3 linked regions of the Sus scrofa genome follow. The protein of the gene in region 3 interacts with the protein of the main gene of each other region in a biochemical or structural test. Links are inferred from orthologs where the notes say so. Each region holds a gene or a part of one and is shown on either strand. Other genes may lie near its edges. The genes, in order: AURKA, ISG15 and USP21.

The links.
Region 1: the proteins of USP21 (region 3) and AURKA form a complex in vitro, tested with the Homo sapiens proteins (2 studies listed by BioGRID, with this or other methods). The link is inferred for Sus scrofa from reciprocal best matches to the Homo sapiens genes USP21 and AURKA.
Region 2: the proteins of USP21 (region 3) and ISG15 form a complex in vitro, tested with the Homo sapiens proteins (2 studies listed by BioGRID, with this or other methods). The link is inferred for Sus scrofa from reciprocal best matches to the Homo sapiens genes USP21 and ISG15.

The regions. Positions count from the first base shown.
Region 1 is NC_010459.5:56,967,577-56,975,742, forward strand, and holds the start of AURKA (aurora kinase A), read right to left. Parts: upstream 4,860-8,166; 5' UTR 4,462-4,859; exon of another isoform or gene 4,448-4,461; intron 855-4,447; 5' UTR 850-854; coding exon 811-849; intron 1-810. Other genes in the region: CSTF1 (cleavage stimulation factor subunit 1), read left to right, coding at 8,017-8,166. UniProt on the Homo sapiens protein: Mitotic serine/threonine kinase that contributes to the regulation of cell cycle progression.
Region 2 is NC_010448.4:63,359,950-63,366,710, reverse strand, and holds ISG15 (ubiquitin-like protein ISG15), read right to left. Parts: upstream 3,511-6,761; 5' UTR 3,435-3,510; coding exon 3,432-3,434; intron 3,030-3,431; coding exon 2,529-3,029; 3' UTR 2,500-2,528; downstream 1-2,499. Other genes in the region: AGRN (agrin), read right to left, coding at 345-557; uncharacterized protein LOC110261384, read left to right, coding at 556-864, 1,580-1,948.
Region 3 is NC_010446.5:89,287,988-89,295,619, reverse strand, and holds USP21 (ubiquitin carboxyl-terminal hydrolase 21), read left to right. Parts: upstream 1-387; 5' UTR 388-618; intron 619-1,437; 5' UTR 1,438-1,458; coding exon 1,459-2,058; intron 2,059-2,858; coding exon 2,859-2,918; intron 2,919-3,062; coding exon 3,063-3,183; intron 3,184-3,392; coding exon 3,393-3,504; intron 3,505-3,690; coding exon 3,691-3,846; intron 3,847-4,348; coding exon 4,349-4,413; intron 4,414-4,668; coding exon 4,669-4,772; intron 4,773-4,954; coding exon 4,955-5,041; intron 5,042-5,334; coding exon 5,335-5,413; intron 5,414-5,642; coding exon 5,643-5,750; intron 5,751-5,857; coding exon 5,858-5,972; intron 5,973-6,191; coding exon 6,192-6,282; 3' UTR 6,283-6,564; downstream 6,565-7,632. UniProt on the Homo sapiens protein: Deubiquitinates histone H2A, a specific tag for epigenetic transcriptional repression, thereby acting as a coactivator.

The sequences.
Region 1 (8,166 bases), on a different chromosome or scaffold from region 3:
ACACCTTCCTGATGGTTTTGTTTTTTTGTTTTTTTGGTTTTTTTTGGCACCCATGGCATATGGAAGTTCAAAGGCCAGGGATCAAATCCAAGCCACAGTTGTGGCAACGCCAGGCCCTTTACCCACTGGGCCACAGCAGGAACTCCAAGCTCTAAGCTTTTTTAAGTCATTGATCATGTGCTTGCTTCCACCATTATGATGCCTGCATCTGACATGGAACCTGACTCAAAAGCACACTCCCAGGAAATGCCCACTAAAGCACTGCCTGACATTGCTCTGAAATGTGACAACTAACTATGGCAAACAAAATTAATTTCTGGAGGAGTTCTCTTGGCACAGCAGGTTAAGGATCTGGCATCGTCACTGCAGCAGCTCGGGTCACCGGTGTGGTACGTGAAAAAAATTAAAGTTATGATCCAAAGTCAAGGTGAAATGAATTCCAGATATAAAAACCAATCTCCAGGAGTTCCCATCAAGGAACAGCGGAAACAAATCCGACAAGGAACCCTGAGGTTACAGGTTCAATCCCTGGCCTCACTTGAGGGTTAAGGATCTGGTGTTGCTATGAACTGTGGTGTAGGTCACAGACATGGCTTGGATCCTGCATTGCTGTGGCATGCGCTGGCAGCTATAGCTCCAATCTGACCTCTAGCCTGGGAACCTCCATGCACCATGGGTAAGGCCCTAAAAAGCAAATAAATAAATAAAAATTAAAAACAATTTTAAAACGTTGCAATTCTCACTTAAAATAAAAAAATAAAGATATAAAAAAATCCTTTTGGGTTTGAGATTATAGATTATTCGATTTACCTTAAGCCCCGAAATGCAGTTTTCTTTACATTTGTCCATGATACCTGAAAAGAAAAAAGAACCACCTATAATTTATAAAAATCCATCTGCTTCAAAGTGCTATGCTGGATCAGGGTTATAAATCCTGACAAAAAAGCCTCACCATCACACAGAATTTTAGTCTGTCATCTAAATGAGGCTGATAAGGGAGCAGTGTTTTCCCACATGCCATAAAGCACAGGTGGGGGCCTTCCCCAAGAGACTAAGCTCTCCCCTCATCCACCCCATCCCACCCCACCCCTGACAGCTCCAACTTCACTCCTGAACCGCCTGGTCCCTCTGCTCCATCTTCTCCCTAGTGGATCAGGTCCATCAGTGTACAGACCCGCTTCCATACCCACAGCCTTAAAAAAGGAAAAAAGTCCTCTTTACCCCACACTGACTCGAGCTAAGACCACATCTCTCTCCTCTTTCAACATCCAAGGGCCACAAGCTCACTCCCTCGGGGCTGTTATCCCCCCAACCGGTCAGGCTCCTGACAGACCCCTGCAGAGCCTGAACTGGCTACAGCCAAACCCAAAGTCCAATTCTCTGCCCCTCTTATTCACATTCCCCACATTCCCCAGCATCAGACACTTTTCCCTCTCCTTTCTTCACTTAGCTGGCAGGTGATTCTCCCATCTTACCAGCTGTCCCACTGCAACCTCCTTTTGACCAACCACAGTGTCCGGATGCCCCACTTCTCCACCTACGCCTTCCCTAAGGCCCCTCACCCAGCCCCAGGGCCTAAATTTTTTTTTTTTTTTTTGCTTTTTAGGGGCACACATGCGGCATATGGAGGTTCACAGGCTAGGGATGAAATTAGAGCTACGGCTGTCAGCCTATGCCACAGTCATGGCAAAGTGGGATCTGAGCTGCGTTTGCAACCTACACCACAGTTCATGGCAACACCAGATCCCCAGCCCACTGGGCAAGGGCGAGGACTGAACCTGTATCCTCAAGGATACTAGTAGGATTCTTTTCCCCTGCGCAACCAAGGGAACTCCCGGCCTAGACATCTTTATTAAAAGAACTGGAACCTGGGTCTTCTGCCTTCCCGTCTCCCCCCACAGCTGGGCTCAGCCCTCTAACAACCCGCTCACACCCTCAGAAAGCCTGCCTGGTACCCCAAGCCAACACACCACATGAAACAAGCACTGCACGCTTGTTTCCCCTCCACTCAGGCCACAAACACTTCTTCCCCAACCACTCTCACTCCCCTGGGGAGCCAGCCCATCCAGTCCCCCTGGCTTTCAACCCCATCCACAGGCTGAGCAGCCCCAAATCTCCATCTCAAGCCCAGACCTCTCCTTTCAACTCCCACCACCTGATCATCGGAGGCATCTGAGTTTTATCAAGTCCCAAACTGAAGTCCTGCTCCCTCCTCACACCGTCTCCCGGAAACCCCATCCTGCCAGGTGCTCAAGCCTTAGGCCTTAGCCGTCTTCACATGGTTCTCCCTCAAACCTATCTACCCCATCGGCGTATCTCACAGGCTCCCTCCTCAAAAATCACTGCTCAAACTTTACTACTCCCACCTGGTCAAACCACACTCCACCCCCTTCCCCTTAATTACCTGCGAAAAGCTCCCAATGGTGACTCTGCTTCCACCCTTGCCCCTTTGTGGTCCTCTCCCAACACAGTGCCCAGTGATCCCACTAACAAATCGAGATATTCTGGGAGTTCCTGTGATGGCCCAGCAGAAATGAATTCAACTAGGAACCACAAAGATGCGGGTTCGATCCCTGGCCTTGCTCAGTGGGTTAAGGATCCGGTGTTGCCATGAACTTCAGTGTAGGTCACAGACATGGCTTGGATCCCATAGTGTTGCTGTGGCTGTGGTGTAGGCCGGGAGCTACAGCTTAGATTGGACCCCTAGCCTGGGAACGCCGTATGCCACAGATGTGGCCCTAAAAAAAAAAAAAAAAATTTAAAAAAGCAAAAGCACTCATTCGTCCCATGCTTTCACATCCACTTGATAAGCAAGCAAATAACTCTCCCTTGAAGGTGGGAATAGGCTAAAGAAACTGGAGTCCTATATCAAACAGTCACTTAGAAATAACAGACAGGGAGTTCCCATCATGGCTCAGCAGTAATAAACCTGATAGTATCCCTGAGGACTCAGGTCCAATCCCTGGCCTTGCTCAGTGGGTTAAGGATCCAGTGCTGCTGTGAGCTTTGGTGTAGGTGACAGACACCGCTCGGATCTGGCGTGGCTGTGGCCGGGAGCTACAGCTCTGATTCGACCTCTAGCCTGGGAACTTTCATATGCAGAGGGTGGCCCCCCCCAAAAAAAGAATAGAAAGGAAAAGGAAATATATTTTCATTATGAGAACATTAATTTCACAATGCTCTGATGCTTCACTCTCCCTTAACAATTATAAGCAGCAAACTAATGAGATCACGGAGGCCCATGGACATTTATTCCACAGTCTTCAATGGAAGCTGCAGATATTTGCTGTAGTCTAATACACTTTTCCTTCTCAGGAAGAATAAACAGCAGAATAAATCTCTGATCCAGAAATTCTGGAGAGCTGCAGGAAGACTGCTTCTCAGGTGATTCTGGTTTACAGCCAAGCACAGGAGTCAAATGCAGAGGACCTGCACGAGATCCCTGCAGTTCACACCAGAGATCCTACTGGTCTAAATAGGAAAGTCGATATTTAATAGCACTGTGGGTTTAGACTTTTTCTTTCTTTGTCAAACCTACAAATGCCTGGAAAAAATGAAGCATGGAAAGGAAATAAGGTGCATAATTCAAAGAAAAGGGAACGTTAAGGGTGACTTTTACTGCCTCCTGCTCAAGGGTGGTAGCCAGGACGTTTGTTAGAAATGGAAACTTTTCAGGTCCGATCCCAGACCTAACAAACCAGTTCCCGCATTTCAACATCCCCGTTCCCGCATTTCAACATCCCCAGATAACCATCGAGCGCTGGGCTAGATCACAGGTTCTCAATGAACCATCAGAACCACCTGCACAGCTTGACAAAAACACAGACACCTGAGTCCTAAGCCCAAGCACTTCTGATCCATTAGGTGGGACCCTACTTTTTCCCAAGGATCCTCAAGCAGTCCTGATAAAGGCAGTCCAAGGTCTACAGTTTGAGAAGCACTGGCCCGCGAAGGCCTCTTCCGAGAAGTTATTTACTCACCCACTCACCCAACCGGCCCGGACACGAGCCTTTGCAGCTAGTCTAAGGTCGCCCCCGTGCCTAACATTCACCACTATCGATACCTCCCTAAGTTCGTCGCCTGCTCTCCACCGCCCCCCAAGCACGTACACTCCAAGACAATAAAAAACTTTATTTTTCTCACCCAGGTGCTCACTGAAAGCACACTGCCCACCCCACCAGCTCAACAACCCCATCCACTCCAGGCGTTTAATAACACCAAGTGGCGTCTTACAGGGCGCCTCGGGACCAGGAGCAGAGGGGAGGGCTCTGGGGAAGCACCAGGCTGGGGCGCGGGGCCGGGGGGGGGGTGCAGGGGGACCCTTTCTCGCCCCGACCCTCCCATGCAAGCCCCGCAGCCCCACCACCCGCTTCCCTCCCACCCTCTCGCTGAGGCCACCCACCCAGCGGCTGCCCGCCCTCCTGAGAGCTGCTCCGGGGCTACGCACCTAGGGGTTCTCACCTCCAACTTGAAAACAGCGCTTCCTCCAGAGGGCTCAGCCGTTAGGACGCAAAGTCTTCATTTTAAATAGGAGTTAAACCCTCTTAGCCGAAAGCTGATTGGCCTGAGTCAGAGAGGCGCTACCTTTTCATTGGTTCAAGGCCAACTCGCCGGCTTGAGTCACAGCCCAGGAGAGGCGGCGCGCAGGCGTACTTCCTCCGTGAGGCCCCGGAAGTGGTGGAGCCAACGGCCCGCCACATCCGAGGCCGTTCGAGAGCCCACAGGGCTCTCCTGGTCTGACATTTATCGGTGAGACAGCAGGGCTTTGGCGTCAGGGCCCCCGCGTAGGAGATAAAGTCTGAGGAGGTGAACGAACCTCCCGAACACGCCCGTGAGTAAGATGGCGAGAAGGGCAGGAACGAGTGGGTTCGATCGATAGCGCAGCGCTCGGCGCGACGCCCTTTGCGCGTGCGCAGTGCACGTGCACGCGGAGCGATCGATTGGGCAGGATTCGCGTCTCCATTTTTCTAGGAGAGAGCGGGAGACCGGAGAGAGCGGGTATGGGGGGCCCGGGTTTCGCGGAGAGTGGCTGGTGCGGTCGGCTGGGCCCTTTGGGAGACCACAGGAAGGGGCGAGGCGGGAAGGGTCGACGGTGAGCGATGCGGCCTGTGCCCTGAGTTGCCAGGCTAAGGCTGCATTTGCTCCTCCTCTTCAAAGGCCTCGCTCTCACTCTCTCTCCATCCCCAGTTGGCCTTTAGGTCCGGGTGATAGCGGAACGTACGGTGAGGGGGGCGTCTGTGTTCTCGCCGCGGTGCTCCTTCCAACTCCAGGTACGACCAGTCCTGGGTGGGCCTCTTCCTATCCTCTGGCCGCAGCCCCTTCACCTGCAAACTGGGGATGGTAATTAGGCACTTACTCGCCCAGCGAGCGAACGTTCTTTGGGAGTTGGGAAGCAGGGCTTGTCCTGTCTTTCTTATTTTAACCTTTTGGTACGCCTCCTGATGCTCCTGGCTTAAGTGGAGATACAGGATGGAATAGTGCTCAAGCTCTGGGCTCTGGTGTGGGCAATCCCAGTGGCCACTTTAACCTTGGACGAGTTTCGCAGCAGCATTCTGTTTGCAGTGTTTCCTAACCTTTTTGAGCCAGTTTGATCATCAATGTTGTGTCCTAGTGGGTGTATGTATATATGTGTGTGTATATATATAATTTGTTTTTTCTCCGTATACTTTAAATATATCTTAAGAGTTTAGCGTGGTGTTTGGCAATTGCTTAGTAAATGTTAGCTGTTGGTATTAACACTCATCAGTGCAGCACAGTAAGAACTCAGGCTCTGGGCTCAAATAGATTAGTTTAAGGTTCAGGTTCTGCCATTTACAAGCTCTTGGGTCCTGGGTTAAGTTAATCTCTCTGGGCCTCAGGTTGCCTACCTCTAAAATGAGATTTGATGAGGACTGAACAAGGTAATGCATATTAGTTGCTTACAACATGTGTATTACTGTATTAAATGTCTAATGGATTTTTACTGGTTCATTAAGTTTTTAAGGAGCACTACAGGCAGTGGAAACAGCACAGTCTCTAGAGTCAAATCACCTGCATTCTAATTCACGTTCCTTGGGCAGTAGACCTTGGCCAAGCTATTGCCCCTCCTCACCTGTAAACAGGATTACTGAACCTCCTTTATAGGGTGTTGAGGATTAATTGAGAGGAAACATGGTAAAAAAAAAAAAACTCAATAAATGTTAGCTCTTCTTATTATCATTAGCCTCAGTAATTCTCCAGGGGGCAGTGTGTAGTTAAAAAACACTGTTCCCCACAACACCTCCCACTTGCAGTCACCCCTGTGAGGTACAACAATACCAGTAGATACCAGTGTTAGCTGCCCACTCACTGCCCTTTTTCATAGTCATCTCTCCTGTGCTTCTGCCTTCCAGTTTTCTCCTCTGCCACAGCTACCTATCTGCCTTTGACTTTTTGTTGTTGTTGTTATTTCCCCAATACAATTTTTTTTTCTCCCATACAGCATGGTGACCCAGTTACACATACATGTATACATTCTTTTTTCTCACATTATCATGCTCCATCGTAAGTGACTAGACATAGTTCCCAGTGCTACACAGCAGGATCTCATTGCTAATCCATTCCAAAGGCAATAGTTTGCATGGATTAACCCCAAGCTCCCAGTCCACCCCACCCCCTCCCCCTCGGCAACCACAAGTCTCTTCTCCATGACTTTTATTCTTTTTTTTTTTTTTTTTTTGTCTTTTTGCTATTTCTTTGGGCCGCTCCTGCGGCATATGAAGGTTCCCAGGCTAGGGGTCCAATCGGAGCTGTAGCCACTGGCCTACGCCGGAGTCACAGCAACGCGAGATCCGAGCCACGTCTGCAACCTATACCACAGCTCACGGCAACGCCGGATCGTTAACCCACTGAGCAAGGGCAGGGACCGAACCCGCAACCTCATGGTTCCTAGTCGGATTTGTTAACCACTGCGCCACGATGGGAACCCCCCCCCTTTTTTTTTGACTTTTATTCTTTATTGCTGTTTGCCCCGGCAGCCTTCCGGCATCTGTACAGACGTACATTTATGTACAGACATTGATTTTTATAATCAAGTTATCTAATCATGTCCACCATTTGGAGTTTGTTTTTGTTTTTGCACAAACCGAAAACCAGCATCTAGTTTTTTTCTCTAAGACAAGGGAAAACTTGAGCCCTTATAAATCAGCCTGAGTGCATAGCCCTTCACATTTTTCCTTTTATAGTTGTTTCACCATATCCCATTTGCCAGTATTTTATCTGCGACCTACACCTACAGCTCACAGCAACGCCCAATCCTTAACCCACTGAGCAAGGCCAGGGATCGAACCCGCAACCCCATGGTTCCTAGTCGGATTCATTAACCACTGCACCACGACGGGAGCTCTGCCAGTATTTTATTAAGCCATTGATCTTTGAATCTTTCCGAAGCGTTCAACTTGATTTCATTTTCATAGCACAGTAGCTTTTTAGCTCTCATGTTTTGATTTACTGCCTAAGGAAATCATAGAATTTAACAAGCTTAGTTGCCTTAAAACATATGTTAAGAATGAACATAAGTAAACCTAACAGCTCAGCTGGTGCAGGCAGTAGTGTCTAGACATCTGACGATACCAGCTGTCTTTCCCATTGCAAATATGAGCCAGTGTTTTATTAACAGAAGAAATGGAAGGTTCTGGGATAGCAGTAAAGAATAAAAATCACAGGTGGGTAGTTTGGCAGAAAAGAAAAGTTGAAGAAGAGAGGTCTCACTGTAAATATTGGCTAACAGGATTTGAACAGTTTCTTCGTGCCGCTGCGCTCCATGCTCTGCATGCACCATCTTGTTGAACCTTCACGAACCTATTTAACAGCTGTGAACCTGCTCCCAGAGAAACAGGGCTGTGGACCGAATAAACGCAGCTGATAGAGCTGGGGTTTCAGCCCTGAAGGTCTGACCAGATTCCTGTGTTGCTTCTGTGATAGCCCAGTGCCTCTGCCCTTCATCATCCGCTTGCCTTCTCTCTTGCAGCTGGCAGGGAAACTGTCTTCCTCTCTAAGATGTACAGAACCAAAGTGGGTTTGAAGGACCGTCAGCAGCTCTACAAGCTGATCATCAGCCAGCTGCTCTATGATGGCTACATCAGCATTGCTAATGGCCTCATCAACGAAATCAAGCCTCAGTCTGTCTGTGCACCCTCAGAGCAGCTC
Region 2 (6,761 bases), on a different chromosome or scaffold from region 3:
TGTTTCCAATAAGGGCTTGGGCTTAGGGTGAAGGGGCAGACGGTGAAGGGGCCTCCGGAGCTCGGGCACCGCGAGGTGGGACTGCAGCGGCACCGCAAGAACTTTCCCAGACCTGGCGCCCCACCCGGGGGTCGGCTGTCGCCAAGGGAGCGGGAGCGAGCGCTGCGGAGCGTCTGGGGCTCGTTCCCACGGCCTGGGGCGGGGGGTCTCAGCGGGGCGGCCGGCTTCGCGAGGGGAGGGCCTCCGGAATAGGGGGCAGGGGTCGCGGGGGAGAGGCCCCCAACTCAGGCTTCCAGGAGAATGCGAAGGGGGCTCAGGATCCCAGGGGTCCCGCGGGGGCCCACCTTGCACGAGTACGTGTGCTGCACCGGGTCCACGTTGAGGATCTCCTCCACGGTGCCGGTGAGCACCACGTTCGCCTCCTCCTCCCGCCGCTCCAGCGCGCGCTCGGGGCACGTCCCGTCGGCGCTGGGCAGGGCGCGCGCGGCCACGACCAGGAGCAGCAGCAGCAGCAGCGGCTGCAGCGGGGCCGAGCCGGACGGCCGCAGGCTGGCCATGGCGCTGGCGGAGGACGGCGGAAGGCGGCCGGAGCGAGCGCACGGGCCGGACCGCGCCGCAGACGGGACTGGACTGGACGGGACGCAGCTCCTGGGAGGCGGCGGGAGCGCGGGCAGCGCGGGGGCGGGCCGGGGGCGGGCCCGGGGCAGCACCACCCCCTTCCCGCCCCCCCCGCCCCGTCTGCGCCCGCCCCCGGCCCTCCCGGCGCCCAGCGACCCGCGCCGGCTGCGAACAAAGCGCCGGGACAGCGGCGCCGGGTGGAGGCCGGGCTGCGGAAGGGAGGGGGCCGGTCTGCGTCGGGCCAAGGTGGGTGGTGGGACTGGCCGGGGCGAAGGTGGGCCGGGCGGGGCGGGGGCGGGGGCGGGCCGGAGGGTGATCTCCTTGCTGCGACGCACCCCCACGGACGCCCCTGCCCCGCCCGCGCGGACGTTCTCCACCCCCACTCCCCCGCCAGGAAATGCGGCTGAAATCGGGTTAATGCATAATCTGGAGGCGACGTGACGGGACTTCCAAGGGGCTCCAGGCTGCGCCGGGGCTGGGGCGGCGAGGACTCCCCGGCTGCGGGGAGGGGCTGCCAGATCCGGGGCCCCACCGCCTCTTGAGCCCTGCAGGGCAGTGCCCCGCCCCCAGCAGGAGGGACTGACTGGGGACCCCAGCCCCTCGTTGGAACTGGGGACGGAAGCTCGGCCGGCCCGGGACCCCCTTCCTGCTGGGACCAATGCGGGCCGGGGGCTGCAGCGATTGGTCACAGGGAGTAGAGGCCCGCCCACCTCCCCCTCCCGGTAAGCTCCGGCCCCTCTGCAGGGAGACGGGCTCCCTCTGCCGCCACGAGGCTGCAATCGCGTGTCAGCAGTGGACGGCCGGCCACGCCCCCTCGCCCGCTCCCGGAGCTCCGCTAGGTACCGAAGGTAAGCCGAGAAGGGTATATGCTGAGATCCAGACCCGCTAACTTAGAGCATGACCTAGATGAAGGTGGTGGGGGGCGGGGGGCGGGGAGAGGAGATCCCTTCTGTCTCTCTAGGACTGGGTCCGCCGCGCACACCCTCACGCAAGCCGGCCGTGGATCTCGGAGCCAGAGGCAACGGAGGATGAGCAGCGGAAGAGACCCCTCTGGAGGAGGACGCTACTCCGCCCAGACCCTGGTGGAGGGATTCAAAAGAGGAGGGTGGCGCTGAGGGTGTGTGCTCACACTAAGTTACGGTATGACACAGAGGTGGGGGTGGAGGTGCAGGAAGTGAGGCTGGAGCCAGGAGCACCCCCGCCGATGCACCCTCACCTGCATATCTACACATATATCTGTCACAGGCAGGTCTGCTCCCCCTCCCCCACTCAGCTGTGGACCCCCACAGACCAGGAAGGAGGCTTCTGGGTCTTCAGCCAAATGCCCTGAAGAGCCCGAAAGCAGAGGTCCTCAGAGCCATGCCCAGAGAGGTCCACGTCCTGTGCTCCTGCCTCCCCCATGTCCAGGGCTGACTCAGCCTGGCTCCTGTGGGGCTCACGGGGGAGGCTGGCTTCCCTCACAGCTCACCCAGACAGGCCACAGGGGCTCATGCCCCCACTGCTTCCAGGGGCACTCACCTGGCCAGGCCTTCTCCTCCCTGTGCTATCTGCTGACCCAGATGTGGGGCTGCAGAGCTGACCACGGCACAGCAGGAAGACAAGGATGGGCTCTAGCGGCTGTGCCTCTTTTTATTTCTCTAGAAGGTAATTTCCCAAAGATGTGGGGACACATCTTCGATTTCTCTGGTGTGTGTGGGGCACCATTTTGATCCCACAAGGCTTGTCCCTTAACTTGGCAACTCTAGTCTGGTGACCACCCAGCAACCTCTGGGTCCCCTCATCCCACTCCCTCCTCCATCTCACCTCCTGTCTCACCAAAATGGGTGCAGAATGGAGGACTGACACCGAGATGGTGCTGGCCAGAGAAGAATGGACGCTTTGTTACACTCAATTTTGCCACAGCTTTATTACTAGCACTCGGTGAGGTGCTCCCCTGGCCCTGTCCCGCCCCCCCGCAGGCGCAGATTCATATACACGGTGCACATAGGCTTGAGGTCATACTCCCCCAGCTGGTGCTCATCCTCCATGGGCTTCCCCTCGAAAGTCAGCCAGAACTGGTCAGCTTGCACGCCCTCCTGCTGACACACCTGCTGCTTGAGCTCAGCCACTGTCTGCGTCAGCCAGACCTCATAGGCGTTGCTGCGACCCTTGTCGTTCCTCACCAGGATGCTCAGTGGGTCTCTGAAGCTTTGCACCATCAACAGGACTGTGCTGCCTGGGCCCAGGCCCTGGTTGACCAGGGGCACCCCATCCTGAAGCACATTGCCGGCTGGGTGAGCCAGACGCTGCTGGAAGGCGGGCACACCGATCTCCCGGGCGATCTGCTGCTTCAGGTCCGATGCCATCATGCAGTCCCTCAAGGGCACCAGGATCTCCTTGCCTCCCAGCATCTTCACCTTCAGTTCCCTACCCTGTGGGCGTCACACAGGCTCAGAGACCCTGTCACCAGTCCCAGGGCCACCACATAGTGGGGCAAAAGCTCCTAGAGCCCAGGAGTGCTGCTCCCTCCTCCCTACCCTCCCCACCCTCCAGGAGGGGGACCCCGGGCACTGGAGAGGGCAAGGGGGCATTTCTAGAATGGCCACCACCCACAACCATCATGTCACCTCCCTTCACCAGCTAAGATGCCTCCCTGTGCCGACCCCAAGGGATCTCAGCCCTCTGAGGACACAGACCCTGACGTCAGGAGGAGCCCCATCCCTCCCCTCATGCTTAGGAACCTGGCGGGCCCTGAGCAGCTCTGTCTGCCTGGTACACATAGGTGTTCTGCCCCTGGGAGAGGCCACCTGCCCCACCTGTCAAACCCCCCTCACCATGGCCGTGGGCTTTGGCGACAGGTCCTCTGTGAGCTCTGCTTCGCTGCCTCTGTGCGCTCTGCGTCGCTGCCGCTCAGCTCGCCGCTGCTCTTCAGCCGTGGCGGCTCAGCCCTTTAAAAAGCCTGAGCAGCCGCGTCAGAGGGCGGAGTCCAGGAGCCAACCACCGCGGGAGCCGAAATCGAAATCGGCTTCAGTTTCGGTTTCCTTTTCCCAAGGCAGGCTCCGGAGTGCATGGCAGGAAAAAACAAATAGCAATGACAGGACATTGAGGAAGGGGGTACAGAGTCTCTCCAGCTGCCAGCCAGGCACACGACAGCATCCCCGCCTCCAGAGGTACGTGTTCAGAAACCCCCGGCACGCCCAGTGCCTCACATCCTTTTCACGATGCACAAATAGCATCATAATACCGAGAGCTAACAATTGGCAACTTTCACTTTCCATTTACCAGTTTGCAAAATTAGGAACCTTGGAAATCATTGCCGGGGTTAATTCAGAAATAGCAAAACATAGTGACAGTCCAACCAAGCCAGAGATAACAACCATTGGTTTATGACAATATTTATTCAGGTTTTTTATTCAGATTTTTTAAATGAAAGAGATGTGTCTTTTATTTTCCATGAAAATGAACTCACGAATACTATTGGCAAGGTAAAAAAACTATCTACAAAATGGGAGAAAATATTTGCAAGTCATGTGTCAGTTAAGGGCCTAGTATCCATAATACATAAGGAACGTTTACAACTCAACAACAAAAAGATAAACAACTCATTTAAAAGTTGGGCAAAAGACTTCACAGACAGTTTAAAATAGAAAATACGTAAATGGCCAACAACCACATGAAAAGATGCTCAACATCACTGGCCATCAAGGAAATGCACATCAAAACCACAGCGAGATACCATGTCACACCCACTAGCATGACAATAATAATAACAACGATTAAAAAGAGAACAGTAACAAGTGCTGGTGAAGGTGTGGAGACATTGGAATCCTCATACATTGCTGATGGGAATGAGAAGTGGTGCAGCCACTGTGGAAAACAGTCTAGTCAATCCTCAAAATGTTAAACAGAATTTTCATGTGATTCAGCAATTGCATTTCTGGGCACAGGCCCTAGAGACCCGAAGACAGGTGTTCAAACAAATGCTTGCACAGAAATGTTAACAGCAACTCCGTTCACAGTAGAGGAGTCATAGAAATGGGGTGGGGGGAGGAACCAAATCCATCAGCAGGTGGAGGCCTCACCAAAGTATGGCCCATCCTGGAGTTCCCGTCGTGGTGCAGTGGTTAACGAATCCGACTAGGAACCATGAGGTTGCGGGTTCGGTCCCTGCCCTTGCTCAGTGGGTTAACGATCCAGCGTTGCTGTGAGCTGTGGTGTAGGTTGCAAACGTGGCTCGGATCCTGTGTTGCTGTGGCTCTGGCCTAGGCCGGTCGACTAGCCTGGGAACCTCCATGTGCCGCGAGAGCGGCCAGAGAAATGGCAAAAAGACAAAAAAAAAAAAAAACCAAAAAAACAAAAACAAAGTATGGCCCATCCTTAGGGTGGAACACTCTTCAGCCATAAAAACGAGTGAAGCACTGCCACAGGCTACACTGTGAGGGAACCTTGAAAATATGGTGCTCAGTGAAAGAAGATAGACACAGAAGGTCACATATTGTGTGACTCTGTGGAATGGCCACACGCGGCCAGTCCATGGAGACTCAAAGTTGTCCGGTGGTAGCCAGGGGCTGGGGGAGGGGGGAAGAGTGGCAGCGAAGGACACAGGTCTCCTTTGGGATGGTGAAATGTTTCAGAACTGCATCAAGTGACGGCTGTGCCACACTGTAAATATGCTAAAGGCCACTGAATTACATACTTTAAAGCGGTTAAGTTTATGTTGCATGGAATTCCCGCTGTGGTGCAATGGGATCGACGGTCTTGGGAGCGCTGTGACATGGGTTCCATCCCTGGCCCAGCACGGTGGGTTAAGGACTCGGCGTTGCTCTGAGCTATGGTGTAGGTTGCAGATGCCTCTCGGATCCTGTGTGGCTGTGGCTGTGGTGTAGGCCGGCAGCTGTAGCTCTGATTCGACCCCTAGCCTGGGACGTGAGTGCAGCCCTAAAAAACAAACAAACAAACAAACAAAAACAAAAAAAAAACACCCTCCTAACTACTGTCACCGTTTTGTAACCTGCTTCATTCTTAGATGTGTTTAAACATCTTTCCATAGTAATAGATACTTTTATGCAAGTTGTTTTAGTGTCTGCGTATGTTCCCCACAGCATCAGGAGTCTACTGGAGAATAGGATGCAATCAGGAGTTCCCCTGTGGTTCAGTGTGTTAAGGATTCGGTGTTGTCACTGCAGTGGCCTGGGAACTTCCACATGCTGCAGGCGTGGCCAGAAAAAGAGCAAAGAATAGAGTGTAATTAATTAACCCATCCCATATTGTTGAATATTTAGGTTGTTCTCAAATTTTCACTATTACAAACTGCACATTATAGGCATATGTTTGCTAAAAATAAATAGATAATTAATTTTTAAAATAAATAGCTTTAAGTGAACTCAGTCAGACAATGAGACACCAACATCAAATGCTTTCACTGACATGTGGAATCTGAAAAAAGGACAGAATGTACTTCTTTGCAGAACAGATACGGACTCACAGACTTTGAAAAACTTATGGTTTCCAAAGGAGACAGTTTGAGGGGTGGGGGGATGCGCTGGGGGTGTGGGATGGAAATCCTATAAAATTGGATTGTGATGATCATTGTACAACTATAAATGTAATAAATTCATTGAGAAACAAACAAACTAAAATAAAGTAAAAATAATTTTAAAAACATTTTTGTCTTTTATTCTTTTCCCTTTAAAAATAATTTTAAAGAAAAAAAAAGTAAATAAACTTTTAAAAAGAAAGTAATGAGTTCTGGTGGCCTAGTGGTTAAAGGATCCAGTGCTGTTGCGGCTGTGGCTTGGGTCACTGCTGTGGCGTGGGTTCCATCCCTGGCCCTCAAACTTTTGCATGCTGCAGGTGCAGCCAAGAAATAAATAAATAAATAAATGGAAAATACAAAGTATTTTGAATATAAATTGATCATTCCACCTCCCCTTCCCCCAAATGATCTCATAGGGTACCAAAGTTGCTAACATGCCAAAAACAGTTGAAAAAATTGGTTCTTCATATGATTGAAAATTTTTTCTTGACACACTCCTTGCATAAATATTAGTATTATAAAAAGAAAACTGCAAATATAACAAAAGAATAAGAATGTGAAAACCCTTCAATCTCCTTCAGCTGACCATTATTAAACATGGCACAAAGATAAAGAAATTAAAAAATTA
Region 3 (7,632 bases):
GGACTTCCCTCCTGGCTCAGCAGAAACAAATCTTACTAGCATCCATGAGGATGCAAGTTGATCCCTGCCTTCCCTCAGTGGGTTAAGTATCCCGCGTTGCTGTGAGCTGAGGTGTAGGTCGAAGACACGGCTGAGATCTGATGTGGCTGTGGCATAGGCCAGCAGCTACAGCTCTGATTCAGCCCTTAGCCTGGGAACCTCCATATGCCCCAGTGCCGCCCTAAAAAAGCAAAAATAAATAAATAAATACATAAATAAATACATAAATAAATGCAATTTGGGGCTGAGCTGGGAACCCAGGAGTCCTAAAGTTGGCTGTGTTTCCATGGTGTCGGTGGCGGAGCCGAGGGGGCGGGTTCACGCAAGCGCCGAGGAAGGAGGTGGGTGGATTCTGAGTGTGGGTGCGCAAGCGCTCTGAGAGACAGTGAAGCCGGCGGCCGGTGCCCGGGCGGGACCAAGAAAGATGGCGGCGGCCCCTGCGGCGGGAGAGACCTGGGCAACAGCTGCGGCTAAAGCTGCAGCCAGGCCCGCGGGGGTGCTGCACGCGGGTAGTAGGGGGTGGCCCTGAGCTGGGGCCTGGCCCCGGCTGGCCTCCCCCGCCGTCTTACCCGGGGACAGGTACGGTCCGGGACATTATGGCGTGGGGGTTGCCGAGGGAAGACTGCTCCCAGACCTGGGAGATCGCCCTCTACAAAGGCAGAGCAGAGGGCCCTGCAGGCCTGGGAGAACTGGGCTGGCGGGACCAGCATCCGTGGATCTTGGAGAATACGCCGCTGGACCCCGTAGCCAATCAGCAGCCTCGGCCTTTCTGCCCTCGAGGGGGGCGGACCCGGTTGATGCTGGCTGTGGTGGGAGAGGTGCAGAGATTAGAGGTCAGGGAGTTGTTCGTCCTCCCTCCTCGCCGCTACCCCTGAGCCCCAATACCACTTTGGAGCTCAGAGGTGGGGGAGGGAGTGATTGACAAGTCACTCTTTTAGTCTGCTTCGTTTGCAGCCTGGAGGGGCTGGAATCTGAGGATGGAATGCAGTCCTTTGGGCTCTTATACTTGCATCCACACCCCTCTTTGACCAGAGGTCCCAAGTGACCCAGGGCGCATCCCACTTGACTAGCTAGGAATGCGGGACCCTCATGAGTATTTAGATTATGAAGACAGCAGAGATAGGAACTATCTGTTGTTGGCTCTCTCATATTCTGCAGGAAGAGAGTGAGGAATGTGGAAAGAGTCAAAGCCCTGGCTTGCTGTATTCATTCATTCGTTCATTTACTCAGTGCATGTTAAGTATTTACTTTATGCCAAACACTATGCTAGGTATTGGGGATACAATGATTGATATGGTGGACATGGTTCCTGACCTCCATGTATGTAGAAGCTGGTATAGTAGGCTAGGTTCCCTCCTTCCTCCCTTTTCAAATGCTGACCCTCTCTTCTCCTCCCAGGTCCAGCCTGTGGTGTCCACAATGCCCCAGGCTTCTGAGCACCGCCTGGGACGGACCCGAGAGCCACCTCTTAATGTCCAGCCCCGAGTGGGATCCAAGCTACCATTTGCTCCCAGGGCCCGAAGCAAGGAGCGCCGAAACCCAGCCCCTGGGCCGAATCCCATGTTAAGACCTCTGCCTCCCAGGCCAGGTCCCCCTGAGGAACGTCTCAAGAAACTGGAGCTGGGACGGGGACGAACCTCAGGCCCTCGTCCCAGAGGCCCACTTCGGGCAGATCATGGAGTTCCCTTGCCTGGCTCACCACCCCCAACTGTGGCTCTGCCTCTCCCATCCAGGACCAACCTAGCCCGTTCCAAGTCTGTGAGCAGTGGGGACTTGCGTCCAATGGGGATTGCCTTGGGAGGGCACCGTGGCACCGGAGAGCTAGGGGCTGCACTGAGCCGCCTGGCTCTCCGGCCTGAGCCACCCACTTTGAGACGCAGCACCTCTCTCCGCCGCCTTGGGGGCTTTCCTGGGCCACCCACCTTGCTCAGCATACGGACAGAGCCCCCTACTTCCCATGGCTCCTTCCACGTGATATCTGCCCGGCCCTCTGAGCCATTCTACTCCGATGACAAGATGGTGAGGACTTGCCAGCACACATGGCCTTCCATGCTCATGTTCCTTCATGCTTCCAGCTTTCTTGCCATCATGTGGCTTTTCTTTCCCCCTTTTTCCCCAGGTTCATTTTTTTAACCCTTTGTTACAGCAGTTTGGACTCTCTCTCCCTTACTTAAGTGCCCTTGAGCCTCATAGACCCTTTTCAGGGTTGTCTGTGACTCTCCAGCAGGGTGTGCCATTTCATTCCCCAAGGAATTAACTCAACCATTTGGAATTCTTTGGGTCCCCAGGCCCTTACTTCCCCTTTCTGTACCTTCTCTCCTAGGATGCTACCTAAGTCTAATTAATCTCTGGAGCTGAAGAGGGGCGGGTTCAGAACATCTGAGCTAATGTGGTTGCCCATTTCCCGAGCTGAGTGAGCTAGGCTGAGTGCAGTTGGAGCCTTCAGGAGAGGGTGCAGGAAGGGGCCACGGGTGCAGGAGGGGGCCTTGGGGGTAGCAAGGTGGGGGTGGGGAGCAGCTGGGCAACCATGCCAGTGCTTGGGGAGTTGCCCCAGGAGCTGCATCGCCGGCTAGCTGGGCAGAGGAGTAAGTGGGCAACAGGTGGGACAGCCATGGCTGAGTCCGTGGTACACTCAGCTGTGATGGGCTTACTACTCATGGCCAGTGAGGTAGGGAGACCCCAATACCCAGTGAGGGAAAGAGTGTAGCGTTTGGGGGTGAAGGATGGGGTGGGGGAGGCAGTGGACAGCATGCTGTCAAAAGGATTAAAGTGCCAGGTGGGATGTATGGGAACCTGCTGACTGATCTCTGACCTTCCAGGCTCATCACACGTTGCTTCTGGGCTCTGGTCACGTTGGCCTCCGAAATCTGGGGAACACGGTGAGAGCCATTCTCCTGTCCTTCCTAATGGGAATGTGAACTGGTACTGGGGACAGGCATGGGGAAGGAGGGCACTGAAGTTCTCCCAGGGCTTCCTAGGCACTGGTTTGGAGAGATAATGGCAATGTCTCTGCTGCTCCCCAGTGCTTCCTGAATGCTGTGCTACAGTGTTTGAGCAGCACTCGGCCTCTTCGGGACTTCTGTCTGCGAAGGGACTTCCGGCAAGAGGTTCCTGGAGGGGGCCGAGCCCAAGAGCTTACTGAAGGTGGGGCAACAACTCCTGCTTCCTCCTTTCAAATCCTCTTTTTCCCAACCCATTGTAGGTCCATCTGCCAGTGTTGGTGGCCCCAACCCTGAAAGCCAGCAGTTTTGTCTTTTTCACAGTGCCTGCTTTCCTAGAGTTGTTTTCCACCCTCTTGCTTCCCTCTTCCAGTCGTTAACCTTTGTTTCCCTTCCCCACTCCCACCCTAATAGCCTTTGCAGATGTGATTGGTGCCCTGTGGCACCCTGACTCCTGTGAAGCTGTGAATCCTACTCGATTCCGAGCTGTCTTCCAGAAATACGTTCCCTCCTTCTCTGGATACAGGTGGGAGAACTGGAGGGTATGGGATTTCTCTCTGCCCATGTCTGGGGATAGGGCCAAGCAGGGGCCCTGGCAGCATCATTCTGAGCCTTGAGCTCTATCTAGGAAGTGGGGTCAGATGTCTGGGCACGGGTTAGTGACTGTGGACTAGGCAGGGGTCAGTTGCCCACGCTCTTTGTCTGGCTGCAGCCAGCAGGATGCCCAAGAGTTTCTGAAGCTCCTCATGGAGCGGCTACACCTAGAAATCAACCGACGAGGCCGCCGGGCTCCACCAATCCTGGCCAGTAGTCCAGCTCCCTCCCCACCCCGCCGAGGAGGGGCGCTGCTGGAAGAACCTGAGTTAAGGTAAGGTCGCGCCCCCTTTCTCTTGCCCATAGTTTATTAACAGCGTTCATCCTTCGCAGAAGTGAGCTAGTCAGGATTGAGGATGTAGAGTCCAAGGAAATGCTTATCGTAGAATTTGGTTTGAGAAGCAGTGCAGAAGTAGGAAGAAGGCAGGAGGAGGAGGGAGACTGAGGGGCACAGATGGAGGCAGAAGATAGTGCTGTGGCTGTCACCAGATTGACGGAGGAGGGGATAATTAATTTACAAGGTACATAGGGGTTTGAAGCCAGGTGGAGGAAGACGGCATGTTCTTCCCTTGTCTGTGTTCCTTTCTTTTCCTCTCACGTGGATTTCCCCGAAAAGTTCTCTGAAACGTTACTCGTTTGACTCTTCCTTGCAATTTTGAGAAGGAGCTGGGGTATGGGTGGGGTACAGGGCTCCGTGGATCATTTCAGTGGTGTTGGGGGTGCCCAGTGTTCCTGCTGTCTCATGGGTGCTCCCCACTTCCCTTGATCTGTGGTAGTGATGATGACCGAGCCAACCTAATGTGGAAGCGTTACCTGGAGCGAGAGGACAGCAAGATTGTGGGTATGGAACAAGACAAAGTGATGGGGGAAAATTCATGTGTGGGGGTGAAGACTTGGCAGGAAAAAATCAAGACTGTCGAGGGGTCTGGGAATAAGATGATGAAAATGTGGAAAAGTTAAGAGGGGAGAGTTAAGAGGGGAGAGTTGGCGATGGGAAAGAAGGGTCAGGCAAAGGGCTGGGAAGCGACAGGAATGCCAGAAAGCATCTCGGGCATCCCACAGTGACTTTTTCTCCTGCCCCTTTGCTTCTATCTAGACCTGTTTGTGGGCCAGTTGAAAAGTTGTCTCAAGTGCCAGGCCTGTGGGTATCGCTCCACGACCTTCGAGGTTTTTTGTGACCTGTCCCTGCCCATCCCCAAGGTGGGATTCCAGAGGATTCCGGGGGTGGATGGGACATGGGTTCTATGACCCAACCCTACCCACCCCCAGTGTGGGAGGGAACCATGTGGGTCTCTGGAGAAGAATCGAAGCTTGGGTTAATTGAGAAGAGTTGGAAAAGGAAATTCAGAACATGCTGACCCTTCACTCCCCTTTCCCCCCAGAAAGGATTTGCTGGGGGCAAGGTGTCTCTGCGGGATTGTTTCAGCCTTTTCACCAAGGAAGAAGAGCTAGAATCGGAGAATGCCCCAGTATGTGGAGGTTCACAAGGGATATAGTAAGGGTGGGATACCGGAGGTGGGGGAGGCTCCATGTGGGTAAAAGGGGTTGCATGATGCCTTAGTATGAGGAGTAACACTTATATGTAAAGATTTGTGTAGGAGTATTTTTCAGATATGTCCTGATCTGTCAGGGCAAAGGGCAGTGGCCCAGAGAACACAGAAGTAATAGGGAGCACAGTAAATTTATGTGAGTCAGGGTATTGGAAAAGACAACGGAGGTGAGGAGCACATTAACCTTATAACATTATTTGACATTTATTCAGGTGTGTGACCGATGTCGGCAGAAAACACGAAGTACTAAAAAGTTGACAGTACAAAGATTCCCCCGAATCCTCGTGCTCCGTATCCTAATCTTCAAATTCTTATTTCTCCCATTCATTCTTTTTCCTCATTCTCCAAGTTTGCAGAGGCTGGACATTTGGGGATTCGGTTTGCCTTAGGAAAAGGCTGCCACTCCATCTTTCCCTCCTGTGCTCCCAGTGTGTGTTCAGGGAGGGGAGTAGACAACATTCAGTTCCCCAGCCCCCTCAGAGGCCCTCTGCCTCCCAAATTCTCCTTAACCAGAACTTAGATCTTAATCGATTTTCTGCCTCCCGAGGCTCCATTAAGAAAAGTTCAGTAGGTGTAGACTTCCCACTGCAGCGACTGAGCCTAGGGGACTTTGCCAGTGACAAAGCCGGTGAGTCTGGGAAGGAGGGTCCTGAGGAGTTCCATGAAGGGGAGGGAGAGAATGGCGGAGCAGGGCACAGCTCTAACTATAGAATTTGGTCATCTCTAACCCTGAAGGAAGCCCCATATATCAGCTGTATGCCCTTTGCAACCACTCGGGCAGCGTCCACTATGGCCACTACACAGCCCTGTGCCGGTGCCAGACTGGTTGGCATGTCTACAATGACTCTCGGTGAGAACAGCCTTGCCCCATTCCTGCTGCAGCCTTGACACCTTTCCCCAGTATGAAGAAGCCCCAGGAGACAGTGCCTACTGAAAGGAGATGTGGGATTGGGGGTGTGGGGGCGGTGTCTTTCCTAGGCACCACCCGGATACTGTGATGTTGATCTTGTGGGGAGGAGGGTCTATACAGGAAAGATCACACCTCCTTCCCCATCTCCCTTCTTCCTAGTGTCTCCCCTGTCAGTGAAAACCAGGTGGCATCCAGTGAGGGCTACGTGCTGTTCTACCAACTGATGCAGGAGCCACCCCGGTGCCTGTGACCTCCCTTTTAATCCCTGGCACCTGTGAAATCCTTTCAACACCCTTAAGCCCCAGGCTCCCCATTTACCTCAGAGACGTCTATTTTTGTGTCTTTTTAATCGGGGAGGGGGGAGGGGGTGGTTGTACCTCCTATTATTTTTTTTATTAAAAAGTACCCTTCCACCTGGAGGCTCCCTTGTCTCCCAGCCCCATGTACAGAGCTCCCTAGGCCCTGCCCGTGTACAGTCCCCACACCCTCTGCAGTCTCACTTTTTTGTGAATAAATTTATTAAGAAAAAAAATGATGTTCTTTGTATTTGTGCCTAGCGAGTGGAGATATAGAACTGGGCCGAATGGGTAGTTTTCCTGGCACTCAGTTCCCTTTCTAAACGATGGGGGGCGCTCGGAGCCGTGAGGCTGAGGGTGGGGATGGGGATGCAGGATCGGGACGCGTTGATGCCCAAGTTTGCCAAAGCGGTGAAGGTTTACATTGGGAGGAAATGAAGGCTGCAGGGAGGCCTGGATCCAGAGTGCAGGCACTGGGTCGACGGGGTTTGCCGGCGTAGGGGCCTGCCCCGCGAGAGCAAAGCACCCAAGGACCCCTGTTGACAAACACGGTACGTTGCCGGGGCGCCCTAGCTCCCGTAGGCCCAGGCTGTTGCTAACATCAAGGAGCTGTTTATGGAGCCACCTCCCCGGGGACCAGCCTCCAGTGTCCCTGTCTACTCTCCCTACAACCAAGACTCATGAGGACCTTCCTCCAGGGTTCCAACCCTAGCTGGACCTGGCAAACTTGAGCTGGGGAATGTTAACCAGGATTCTGCTCTTGCCGCTCCAGCCCTGAGGGGAGGGCAGTACCGAATATGGCCGCTCTCTCCAACCTGGCACCGAACCGGTTAACCTCCAGCTCCCCGGCCTTCTACAAGGGTTGCCCCACCGCCTCTGAGGGAGGAGGAGTCGCTGCCGGTTCAGTGTTTTCATTGGTGAATGTGATCCGGGGCCTTCCAGAACCCACCAATCCGGGAGCAGGAAAGGTAAGGTTAGGATCGTGCCGCGAGAATAGTGTGGACGGAGAGTCGGAGAGACCGAAAATCTTGGGGGCGGAGGCCGCGGACTGAAAACACTAGGCCTAGCGAGGGGTGGGAGAGAAAACGCGCTTCTTAGCCCTGGCGGCCAGTCGGTGCCCCCAGCCCTGTGCTGGCAGATAGCGTGGGTGTGGCCCTTATCCACTTCCCCGCGGAGCCGGCTGGGTGATGTCTTGAGACCTCTACCTCCTCCTCCCCTCATTTTTCTTGTCCCTCTCGTGGGTGAGTCCGAGGCCCTGGGCGGGGACCTCACAGTTCCACCACCCCATCCCCGAGCCCTTAGTT